Linked DNA regions of Cricetulus griseus. The protein of the gene in region 2 binds, or shares a complex with, the protein of the main gene of each other region. Links are inferred from orthologs where the notes say so. Each region holds a gene or a part of one and is shown on either strand. Other genes may lie near its edges.

What was found. The genes of interacting proteins can lie anywhere in the genome.
Region 1: Pold2 (region 2) and Rev3l share a complex: the UniProt entries of both Homo sapiens proteins name them as parts of the tetrameric Pol-zeta complex. The link is inferred for Cricetulus griseus from reciprocal best matches to the Homo sapiens genes POLD2 and REV3L.
Region 3: Pold2 (region 2) and Pold4 share a complex: the UniProt entries of both Homo sapiens proteins name them as parts of the tetrameric DNA polymerase delta complex. The link is inferred for Cricetulus griseus from reciprocal best matches to the Homo sapiens genes POLD2 and POLD4.

Annotation. Positions count from the first base shown.
Region 1 is NC_048595.1:262,232,244-262,236,242, reverse strand, and holds the start of Rev3l (DNA polymerase zeta catalytic subunit), read right to left. Parts: upstream 2,801-3,999; 5' UTR 2,469-2,800; coding exon 2,330-2,468; intron 1-2,329. UniProt on the Homo sapiens protein: Catalytic subunit of the DNA polymerase zeta complex, an error-prone polymerase specialized in translesion DNA synthesis (TLS). Lacks an intrinsic 3'-5' exonuclease activity and thus has no proofreading function.
Region 2 is NW_023276807.1:98,956,727-98,960,820, reverse strand, and holds the start of Pold2 (DNA polymerase delta subunit 2), read right to left. Parts: upstream 2,801-4,094; 5' UTR 2,383-2,800; coding exon 2,382-2,382; intron 2,341-2,381; exon of another isoform or gene 2,190-2,340; intron 1,777-2,189; exon of another isoform or gene 1,716-1,776; intron 1,401-1,715; coding exon 1,125-1,400; intron 1-1,124. UniProt on the Homo sapiens protein: Accessory component of both the DNA polymerase delta complex and the DNA polymerase zeta complex.
Region 3 is NC_048596.1:55,018,304-55,021,836, forward strand, and holds Pold4 (DNA polymerase delta subunit 4), read right to left. Parts: upstream 2,188-3,533; 5' UTR 1,982-2,187; coding exon 1,885-1,981; intron 1,585-1,884; coding exon 1,495-1,584; intron 1,324-1,494; coding exon 1,212-1,323; intron 866-1,211; coding exon of another isoform or gene 841-865; exon of another isoform or gene 803-840; coding exon 766-802; 3' UTR 501-765; downstream 1-500. UniProt on the Homo sapiens protein: As a component of the tetrameric DNA polymerase delta complex (Pol-delta4), plays a role in high fidelity genome replication and repair.

The DNA of each region.
Region 1 (3,999 bases), on a different chromosome or scaffold from region 2:
ACCTCTCTATTACATTATTATTTTCAAGTTTTATTTCTCTATGTGGCCTGGACTAGTTTTCTTTGGGAAGAGAATTCAAAAGCAGAAAACTCTGCAGCTTAGTTTTTGAGACTGAATTAATATTAATTCCACTGGGATTTTCTAACATTAAGAAATGCTTGATTTATGAAAACTGTAGACGTTCAGTGTATGCCAACTACTTCAATTTTCTTCTTGTTGAGGAGACAAGAATTGTTTTATACTATGTAAGGAATTATTTTATTGTTTTCTCTCTTGACCTCAGCTCCAAGGCATATCCAACCAAGTAAATTATTAACATACATTAATGAATGAATCATTGAGTGCTAAACTGACATTTATATTCATCCATGTGTCATGCTTGAAACAGAAAATTTTGTTTAAGCCTATAAATTTTACCTCTTTCAACCGGATAATCTCTGGCAATTTGAAGTTTGAAAAGTATGTTTTTATTCATTTACATTAGACATTTCAAAGTATACCATAATACAGTGATTTTTTTCTTTTTTTTTTAATTAGGGGCTAGTGACCTATTGTAAGATATTCAGGAAGGAAAGAAGAGATAAATACTTCTTTTGAAATATTTCACATTCCAATATTCAGAAACACAGGTGTATATACCACAGTCTATATATATGTAAAGGATATTCTTCCACAAAACTGTGCTGTTAGTGATAATCTGTGCTGTATTTCCACAAACAAAACTTTCTTACATAATACACCTTTAAAATCACCCAGAAATACATATTTAGTGAGTGTAGCAGGAAAAACAAAACTGTAGAAGAGCAACTCAACCAGCGTACAAACTGCTACACCACAACACATCCTATTAGCATGTTGCTCTACAACTTGAAAATCAACTTCACTTATCATTCTCTGCCCCTGAATCGAGAACAAGCAGGGTGTTTCCCATCAAAACAAAGACAGCACCACGATATTTAAAAAGGTAGAAAACCTATCCTGCAGAACAGTATAATGCCTCTTATCTTCCAGTCTTTCAAGTACCAAGGGCTGTACTCTGCACAAACTGTTAACAGCATTCGATTTCTCTATCTTCCACGGTTCACAGCGTCAAACTCCCACTATTTGAAAAAGGAGTCTTTTGCCAAACCTTATTTATAGCATTGACATTTTTAACAAAGAGAATTCACATTAAAAGGTAATAGCTTAGGATGGGGGCCTACATTTTGGAAAGTGGTATCATCTTGGTAGTGCACAGAAGCTGACGATAATAACAAAGATGAGTGGCGATGAGGCCAAGGAGCATCAAGTGGGAAATGCTATCTAAAATCCCATAGGGCGAAACCTGGGCAAGAACATCTTCCTCCAGAAAGCCGCTCTATCATTTCACGTTAACAGTTTAAAAGCATGTAAAAAGCAAAACAGAAAAAATGAAAACAGGAAAACCATGTGTATTTGGCCACTATCCTATTTATATTATAAATTCCAACGAGTGTTCCAGAACATAGCTTCTGTCATTTTTCCCACCATTTCTTCGAAATAGTCCCCCCCCCCTTTTCTATTTTTAAAATGCAGCCCTACAACCCAGCCTAGAGGCATTTAAAAACGTCTCTGCTGCTGAGCTTGGCTGTGTTTCCTAACGAATTCACCCCGTTAAGTGTAATATTTTATGTGGGGCGACACAAGCACGCATTTCCTATTTCCACGGATGCACGTTTCCTGAAAGCATTGCACCTGAGGATGCCGCTCTGTCCCCGCCGAGGCATTAAACTCTAAGCAGTCACGACCTGCACTCCAGCACAACCACATGGTCACTTCAATGAGAAAGATTATCTGGCCCCGGGCGCCACTTTCTACAGCCACAGCTTCTCCGGCAGGGGCAGAGGAGAGCGAGGGTGAAAAGAGGCAACAGCGAGCGCCTGACAACAGGGCTGACACTTCCCCTCAGCGCTCAAAGCCATTTCTAGAACAGGGCTCTAGGGAGGCGCAGCGGGTGTCCGGGGTCCCACCAACCACCGACCTCTGAGGACCCACCCGCGAACTCGTCCTTGGGGGGACGAGGCACAGCCACCGAGCCGGGGCCCCAGCCCGCCCGCCGCTCGCACAGTCCGTACCCGGCGCCCGCTGCCTCTCTGCCGCGGAGGGGGGCGCAGCGCTCGCACGAACCCACATTTTTCTGCGCCTCCTGTCACGCGCGGGAGAAAAGGCGAGCAGAGCGAGGAAGAGGGAAGAGTCCGCAGCGACCCCGGAGAGGGCCGGCGGCCGGCGTGCGCGCGACTACGCGGCGGCGGCGGGGAGGGCAGCCCCGGCGCCCCGCCGCTCGCACTCCCGCCCGCCCGCTCCCGCTTACCTGCCGGGGTCGCTCCGAAGACTCGTACCACCGGCACCTTCTTGACAGGGAGCTGGGTGAGGGGGGATTGGCAGATATCCAGCCCCCGCAGCGGGCTGGCCATGTAGTAGTCGGCAGTCACTATCCTCACAGAAAACATGTTCGCCGCCGCCGCCACCGCCTCCCCTCCACTGGCGACCTGGCAGCGGCGGCAGCAGCGGCGGCGGCTCCGCAGAGGCGCCTCCTCCCCTTCTCGCTCGGGTCGGCTCTCTCCCTCCTCCCTCCCCTCGCACGGACGCCGGGACGAGCGGCGACGCGCCGGGGGTGCGGGGCTGTGGTGCTGCCGCCGCCTCCTCACACGCTCCCGGCGAGAGGCAGCGGGAGAGAAGCCCTGGCGCGTTCGTCGGGTCGGGTGGTGCCGCTGCTGCTGCCGCCACGGCCGCCGCCGCCGGGAATCACACGGGCTCCTCGGTCCCAAGCTGCAGCTCTTGTTGCCATGATGATGATGTCACGGACGCAACCACTGGGGGAGGGGTGGAGGGGTGTGTGTGTGTGTGTGTGAGTGTGTGAGTGTGAGTGCGCGAGGGTGGCGGCGGCGGCGGCGGGCCGGGGAGGGCGGCGGGGTGGGCCGGGCGCGCGCCCCGGCGGGGACCCGGTTGGGGGGCGAGGAAGGCGTTCTCCCCGGCCCGGAGCGCGCGGCTTCGGCAAGAGCACGGCGGGAAGCCGGGCCGCGCGGCGCACGCCGAGGAATCGATGATTCGGCCTGTGGGCTGGGTCACTGCGGCGGGGCCGGGGGAGCGCCGATATCATGGATGGGCTCGGAGGGGCGCTGGGTTTTGGAGGCTCCTCGCGCTCGCCTCGCCGACCGCCATTTCACGTCCTCTAGAGGAGGCGGGCGCGGCCGCGGAGAGGATTTTTTTTTTTCCCCCCCCGCACAAGGTAAGGGAAGCCGCCCGCGGGAGAAGGGAGGCGCGGCGTAGATCTCGTGCGGCCCGGGCCTCGCGGGAGGGAGGGCGGGCTGGCGGCCGGGCCGGGGCGGGGCGGGGCGGGCGGGGCGCGGGACGAGCCGGCCCTTCTCAGGTAACGCCGGGCCGTGCGCCGTGCGCGGAGCCCGGGCCAGCGCGAGGGGCGGGGGCGCGCGGGCCTCGGCCTATAAAAGGGCCGCCCTGGCGCTCGCTCGCTCGCTCGCTCGCTCGCTGGCTCCCCCGCCCCCAGCTCGGGCGAGCCCGGCGCTCCGCCTCGCCCCCTCCTCTTCTGCGGTGCTGCAGTGCCTGCGCCCGGCCACTTAATGAGATTTATTCACGCGCGGCCCTGCCCAGCTTTGCCCAGGGTTGGCGAATACACAGCGCAGGGATTTCCCACCGCCGTGTTTTTCTCCCGCCCCCTGTTTTCCCCCCCTGTCCCCCCCCCGCTCGCCTTCTCCCTGCACCCCTCTCCAGGACTAGTGCATTGACTGTGGTTTCCTCCGCGGCCGTGCAGGCTGCACCCCAGCAGGAGCGAGCGAGTGCACGTAAAGACTTGTTTGCCCCCGTCACCTCCCTCCACTCCGCTCCCGGCCGCGGGGTAAGCCCTGAGAGCTTTTCAGAGAAAATGTTTGGCGTAAGGAACAAGGCTAATGAAAGTCGCCGCGTATTTCTGAACACGTGCAAGATTTTACTACGGGTTAACGCAGAAGAAAAGGGGCGTGGGGT
Region 2 (4,094 bases):
ACCAGAAACTGGAAGGATCTACTCTAAAGCCTCTAGAAGGCACCAGTCCTGCTGAAAACCCAATTTCAGACTTTAAGCCTTTAGAACAATGGGAGAATAAATATATGTTGTCCTAAGTCCCCTGTTTACAACACTTCATTACCATGGCCACAAGAAGCAACTGTGAAACACATTACCTACGTCTCAGTCACATGCTACATCCCGACAATTACCATGTCCTAAGACTTCAGATTCTTTTGTTTTTTTCAAGATGGTGTCTCACTACATAGCCCTGGCTGTCCTCAAACTCACTCTGTAGACCAAGCTGGCCTCAAACTCAGAGACCCCCCACCTGCTTCTGCTTGCCAAGTGCTGGGATTAAAGGTGTGCACCACTGTATCCAACTAAGACCTTGGATTCTTATGTGTCAGCCCCTGCTCCACCCAATGCTTCATCCTCTGAAAATATACCTTACATTTCCCACTTGATGTCCCCTCCACCTCGGTCCATTTTATTCCCTGTGGAGTCAGCAGCCTTGCTCATTCAAAGCCCCCAGGAGGCAAACCAAAACGCAAGTGAAGGTCCCTTATGCTCAGCAGGAAAGATGTGGAAAGCCAAGCTGGGTAGGAAGAAGGAATGCAAGTTCCAGAAAGTTCCAGGGATTCATCAGCACAGACCCAACCCTAGAACAAATTGCTGAGGAGGCAGGGTGAAGTGGAGGCTCGGCCAGAACCACACTCATGCCCCGGAACAGCCAAGAACATTCCTCAGAGCTCCACCCGGAGGAGCGGATTCCACAGAAGGAAGGCAACTCTAGCACCACACAGAAGTACCTGTGGCTCTGCTATGGCTTGGGTGTGGTCCATCCCTCAAAGACCAAGGCTTTTGGTGCCCAGCCTGCCATGGCCTGCTCTCTAGCTAGCTAGAGTGGGCGAAGGGTGCCTAACTTGCACTGAGGACAGGAAATAGCGGCTACCACTGCCAGAACTCAGTCCTTACCTCAGACCAGCCTCTGAGCCAAACCTAACTTTAACCCCACAGGTTAATTTAACCCTCATTATTATTAACTTAAGAAGCAACAGAGAGCTAACAACACTAAGTTTCCACAGTAACTGGAAAGTGTTAACAGGTTAGAAGCAGCTTACCCCAGTGCTGCTGGGCCCGGCTCTCCAGGAAGGGTCTCATCTGGATGAGGCGGGTGGCATAAATATGAGCATACTGTCTGCTAAAGCTGCGCTCTCCCAGTCGAAAAGGCTGTGAGGAGTTGGTATAAGTTGCCACAGGCACCCGGGCAAAGGTGGCATTGCTGGCTGATGGTGGGGAGAGCAGAGTGTGGGCCCTCTGTGCTGCCTGCTCTGAGAACATGGCAGCGTTCCTGGCTTGTTCTGTCCACGCCGCTGTGTCCAGGCTAAGGAGCATCACTGTAAAGACACACAAAGTCACCCCTGCAACTCCTACTTGAACCCGAAGCAGGAGCTCCCCTGGTGTCTCAACCAAGCTGCCCACACTGCATCTGATGGGCACCGAGATATGTCTGGAGACAGCACCCTGTAGCCTTAGTCAGATAAAACCTGGAGCTTGAGCCAAACCCTGTTCATCTCCTCCATATTTCTACCCAGTTACCAGGGTCTCAAATTCGGCATACCCACAACAGAATTATTGATCTGCCTTCATTCACTTCCTTGGAAACTACCTTACTTCTGGGAATGCTGCCAAGCATCGTCAAAGAAGCTTACCACAGTATAATCTGGCTTACACTTCCACAGCACAGTCCATTACAGAGGGAGGTCAGGACAGAAACTCAAACAGAACAGGAACCTGGAGTCAGGAGCTGATGCAGAAGCCATGGAGAGGTGCTGTTTACTAACTTGCTCCTCATGGCTTACTCAGCATTTTTTTTTTAATTTTGATTTTATATGCATTGGTGCTTTGTCTGCATGCATGTCTGTCCGAGGGTGTCAGATCCCCTGGAACTGGAACTACAGGCAGGTGTGAGCAGCCATGAGAATGCTAGGAATTGAACCTGGATCGCTGGAAGAGCAGCCAGTGCTCTTAACTTCTGAGTGCTCACCAACCATAAGACAATTAGTGATAAAAATAAAACGTAAAGCTGCCCCTGCTCTGCTCAAGACTCTCCAATGGCTGCTATTTTAGTAAACAAAGCCTCAAGTTCTTAACACTACCTGTAAGATTTGTTCCTCCCCTCCCACCTGTTTCTCCTTCCAAGTGTCCTTTCCACAGCAGGGGCTCCAGCAGAGGCCTGTCTACTCTCTGTTGGCTCTTCTCCTGTGCCCCACAGGTTCACTGGATCTTCCCCTTCAAGTCTTTCCTTAAAACTCACTTCCCCACACCTAATTTACTACATCTGCCACTCCAATTGTTTGCATCTCTCAAGCATTTACTTTGCCTCCTCCAAATGCACTCAAAGTTCCAGGGAGGCCGGTTTTTGTTATCTTCAAGGAGGTATTGCACAATTGTCCCACAACGAGTCCAATTAAGATGTGCTCCGGGGATGCACGGAGGATTTCAGTAAATAATAACGGCTGGTTAAACATTTTTCATGCGTAGGTTAAACGACAACAGTCTGGATGTAGTAAGTTTAGAACACAGCCTTCTTTTCATTTTACTTTTTTGGTACAGCTAATACAAAGTTCAAATTCTTCTTGCTGGCTCTGCTTTCTTTAATGTGCAGCTCTGGCGTAGGAAGCGAACTCAACGAATTTGCCAAAAGGGCGCGTGTGAATTCAATGTAAGCCGAACACGCAGTGGTGGGCAGCGGCCCACACGGTGCCCGCAGCCAGACGCGACGGACGACCCGCCCCGCAGCAGGCGCCCCCAGCTCGGGCCTACGCAGCAGTCCGAAGCACCATCGAGACCCCAGCCCGTGGCCCCGGGAGCCCCCAGCCTGGCCCAGCACCCACATTAACCCCTCTCAGCAGCACACTCACCGCGCCGCGCCGCATCCCGCCAATCTCCGCGCGCCCATCCCGCCCATCACCGCATCCGGCCAATCGCCGCCCGCCCCGCCCCGCCCATCGCCGCACGCCTCGTCCGGCCAATCCTCATGTGCCCCGCCTCTGGAGGCCGAGGGACCGCGAAGCCACGCCTCCGGTTGCCCTGACAACGTGCCCCCCCCCGTAGATTTCCTGCGCATGCGAGTGTTTGCGGCTAGGTTACACAGTGTGAGCACGTTGGGTGTCATGGGCCGTTTTGAGCCTCTCAATCCGGGTCATGTCACACTTCCCTGGCTCTGGTGACCTGGTGGCTCCTGGGTGGATGAAGCTTTCCTCCAACTCTCTGTCCAACGCTGTGATACTCGCTCCAGCTTCAGAAGGCCTGTCCTAACAAAGCAGCTCATAGTAATCTGTGCAAGATAGCCACTATTCTGAATTCTCCGGTCTCATTGCACCCACTTCTCAGATTCCCTTTGAAGCATGAGCTAGTCTCCCATCTCACAGGCAGGGAAACCAAGGCAAAGAACAATCACCCAGCGGAATCTGGGATTCACACTAATACACCCTGGTTCTGTTTTTGGTTTTTAGTGGCTTTTAAAAAAAATTAATTGTGTCAATGCATGTGTGTCTGTGTATGGGTATATGCACGTGGCCTCAGAGGAGTACAAAAAGAGTGTGGGATCCCTTGGAGCTGGAGTTACAGGTGCTGTGAGCTACTCAACGGTGGGTGCTGGAGCCCAGCGCCAGCATTCTGAAAGAGTGGTTAGTGCTCTTGACTGAGCCCCTCCCCAGCCTCTTGTTTCTGCTTTAATAATGATTTTAATAATTTGTTTTTTTTAATATTTCACTTTGTCAAATAGTGTTTCCTATGTAGGTTGGGGTGAGTGTGGGGTGTTGGCCTGCTGGTGCAGGTTGTCTGTGGCATTTTTAAATACTATGTTGAAACATTTTTTTTTTTTTTTTGGTTTTTTGAGACAGGGTTTTTCTGTAGCTATGGGGGCTGTCCTAGAACTCACTCAGTAGACCAGGTTGGCCTCGAACTCACAGAGATTTGCCTGTCTCTGCCTCCCACGTGCTGGGATTAAAGGTGTGCACCACCAACATCGGGTGAAACATTCTTGTATTCCAGGGACAAGTCCCATTTGATGGACAAAGAAACTA
Region 3 (3,533 bases), on a different chromosome or scaffold from region 2:
AATTTTACTTAATGCTGAACACCATATGACATAACTGATTTCCATGTTTGTTTTGCTATATTTCAGTGGTAGTAACACCCACGGAGACCTATGGTGTCAGAACATAATAGTTGCTTACAAGCTGGGCACCTCAGACAGGCTTTTTGCTGGCTGGTCAGGGAAGGAGACTCAGAGTGCTTTTCTAAGTACCACCAGGGGACACCAGAGGCTGCTCAGCTCATGAGAAGACTGCCTTAGAAAGACAGATAGGGAAGCCAGGTGGTATAGTGACACAGCCTTTAATCCCAGCACTCAGGAGGCAGGGGCAGGCAGATCTCTGAGTTCAAGGCTAGCCTGGTCTACACAGAGAGTTCCAGGACAGCCAGGGCTACACAGAGAAACCATGTCTTTGCGGCGGGGGGGGGGGGGACAGACAACACAAAAGCCTATAGCTGGCTCTCCTGCCTACTTACCTTTTGGGAACTGCCAGCTAGAGCAGAGTCATATTAAGGGACTAAAGGTCAGGATTTCAGGCTTAATGTACTTTATTGTAAGCGTTAGTGAACTCTTTGATTCTTCTGACATCTGGCTTTGAGTCAGGCTGTGCTGGATTTACTACATCAGAGAGGGTATGGCAAGCATCTGGTGGTCATGATTAGGCCCCGGAGGTGTGGTCTCAGGAGCATCAGGAGCCTGTTGCTTGGACAGGTAAGAGGCTGAATCAGGATGACCTCCACAGTCAGCCTGCTAACTGTTTCTCCAGAGCTGAGATGAGCAGAGCAGCATCTACTGGCCATGGATTCTGTCCAGAAGTTCTTGGTGGCTAGGAGGTGTCAAGGGAAGAACAACCCGGGTGGAACCTCAGAGTGGGTAGAGATGCCAGAGGCTGTGGGAGACAGGGGAGGAGGAGGAGTGCAGAGCAGAGTCAGTTCTATTCCTTGATGGATCTTCAGCAGTTCTTAACTATTGTGTGTGCTTCTGTGGCTTTGATGAACCCCCAGTACTCAGATAGCCCCATGGGCCCTGTATATACTCTTGCACCACCATTAGCTCTTAGAGGTAAGGATCATTAAAGGGGTCTGTCTTGAGCCAGGCACCTAGAAGACCCTTCTTACTTGTCAGGAAGGACCCCTTAAGTCTGTGCCCATTTCTCCAAGTCAAGGAAGCCCCTATGCAGACCAGAGAGTGGCAACTCCTAGAGAAGGGCCTGGTTCCCTGAAAGCTGTCCTGACCTGAATTGGAAGCGGGGGTCTTCAGAGTGTGTCTTCAGCACCTGGTGCACCTCTAGAGGGGGCTTCAAGCCCATCTGCTCTGCCCGATGCCAGCGCTGCATCCGTGTGATACCTGCCAGGGTGGAAAGAAGACTCAGCAGGGCAGAAGAGTCCAGGCTAGAGGCCTCCACACATGCCAGTCTCAGGAGACAGTGTTAGGCAGGCACTTGGATTATTTCTGAAACACATCGATGACAGAACTGGTTCAGAGATGTGCCTGGTGGGCTGGAGGTGGGGTTCTCACCTGTGCAAGGCCCATACTGCCAGGCCAGGTCAAACTGCCTCAGCAGCTCCAGCTGTGCTTCCTCCTGGCTGAGGGACTGGGTGTCTTCTCCTGCAATAACATGCAGCTCCTCAGGCCCATCCAGGCCTTTGCCCTACCCTGGACACAGCTGTGCCACTGGCTGTATCTTCACTCATTTGCCTTTGCCATCCAGCAGCCAGACAGCTCATCAGAAGTATGAGACATACTAGCTTCTCTCTCTCTCTCTCTCTCTCTCTCTCTCTCTCTCTCTCTCTCTCTCTCTCTCTCTCTCTCTCTCTCTCTCTCTCTCTCTCTCCTCTCCCCCCTCCCCTTTCTGGTCCTTGCATACTTGCATACCCACTCTTTCTGCCACCCCCACATTTCAGAGACCTAGCTCTGGTGCCAGCTCCCTCTTGCTGTGCCCAGGGGGCCCCTCCCTCTTCTTCACAACAGGGTAGGAGTCAGTGATGAACCGCTTCCGGCCCATGGCGGCCACCCAGGCAGGCGGAGCAGGAGGCAATAGCGGGAAAGAAAAGGCAGGGCAGTGGGCCTGTGAAAGACAGCTGCTGAGAGTGTGAGAGAGGGCCAGAGAGAGATGGGCCAGCGATGGACAGACAAGTTGACCCAGACAAGCAGAGAGAGGAAGTCCCTAGGTTCCAGAGAATGACGCCTGTCTTCCGCCCCCACAAGCACGCAAACATCAGAGCCTAAGCAAATGGCAAGCGGCCTTTGTGGGGCGGGACCCTAATTTTAGCCAATGGCAGTCGTCAGAGGGCAGGGGGTGGGGCAGCTGCTGCTGCGTCCGAGTGAGGAGGGTTTAGGCGGAACCAAGGACCTGTCAAGATGCCCCAGACTTCACCACCTCCTCCGGTCCCTCATTGGTCCACTTGGGTCCCTAGGGACATATAGAGAGTTATCCTCAGCCTCTCACTTCCCGTTTTTCCTTCCTAGGCAAATGTTCTTTTCAGCCTCACTAATCCCCGTGGCCAGTTTGTAAGTCCCCTGAGCCCGGCTGGAACCTTTTACTCCTGCCGGTTGGCCCCAGAGCGTTGTGGGATCAGATCTTTAGGTCCAAAGAGAGTTTGAACTAATCCTGGCCTTTTCCCTGCTCCTACCGGCCCCAAGAGACCTGGCTGGAGAAGCCCATGGGCTCCGAAGGCTCCTTTCTCACAGTCCGCTGGCAGAGACACTGTCCACCCAGCCCAGGCATGCGGTTGCTGTGTCCACTGTCAGGCCCGACAGCCTGCCTCTGTCCACTTTGCTAGTCAGGAAGATTCCATTCCAAGCAGGATGCCAGAAGTCTAGTCCCCACTCCCTATGGGTTCAGATCCCCAGTTCTCCCCCGCTGCCCCCTTTTGGTTTTTGAGGCAAGGTTTCTCTGTGTAGCCCTGGCTGTCCTGGAGCTCACTTTGTAGACCAGGCTAGCCTCAAACTCACAGAAATTGCCTTACAGAGATTTGCCTGCCTCTGCCTCTGCCTCCTGAGTGCTGGGATTAAAGGTGTGTGCCACCACTGCCTGGCATAGATCTCCAGTTCTTTTTTTTTTTTTTTTCGAGACAGGGTTTCTCTGTATTGCTTTGGAGGTTGTCCTGGAACTAGCTGTTGTAGACCAGGTTGGTCTCGAACTCACAGAGATCCACCTGCCTTTGCCTCCCAAGTGCTGGGATTAAAGGCGTGTGCCACCAATGCCCAGCTTAGATCTCCAGTTCTTAACTGACAGATATGCTCTGTTTCTTAGAAATGTGTATATAACAGAAAATAACATCAATAAACCTTTCCCTTATATTGGGCTTACCATGTGCCTAGAGCTGTACTAAGCAGTTCCCACAACCTTATTCAAAATAGACATCAAAAGAGTTTTGCAAGTGGGTGTAGGTAAATTGTGATCAGGGCTCTTAGTAACAGATACTGTGTAACTAGCCTTCCTTGTGCTCCAGAAGATCCCAAGCTTGCAGGGTAGAGGGGCATCCAGTTGTCAGACCTGTACAGGAAAGCAGAAGGAGAAAGAACTCCTTAGAGCTAGAGGAGGATGGTGGGCA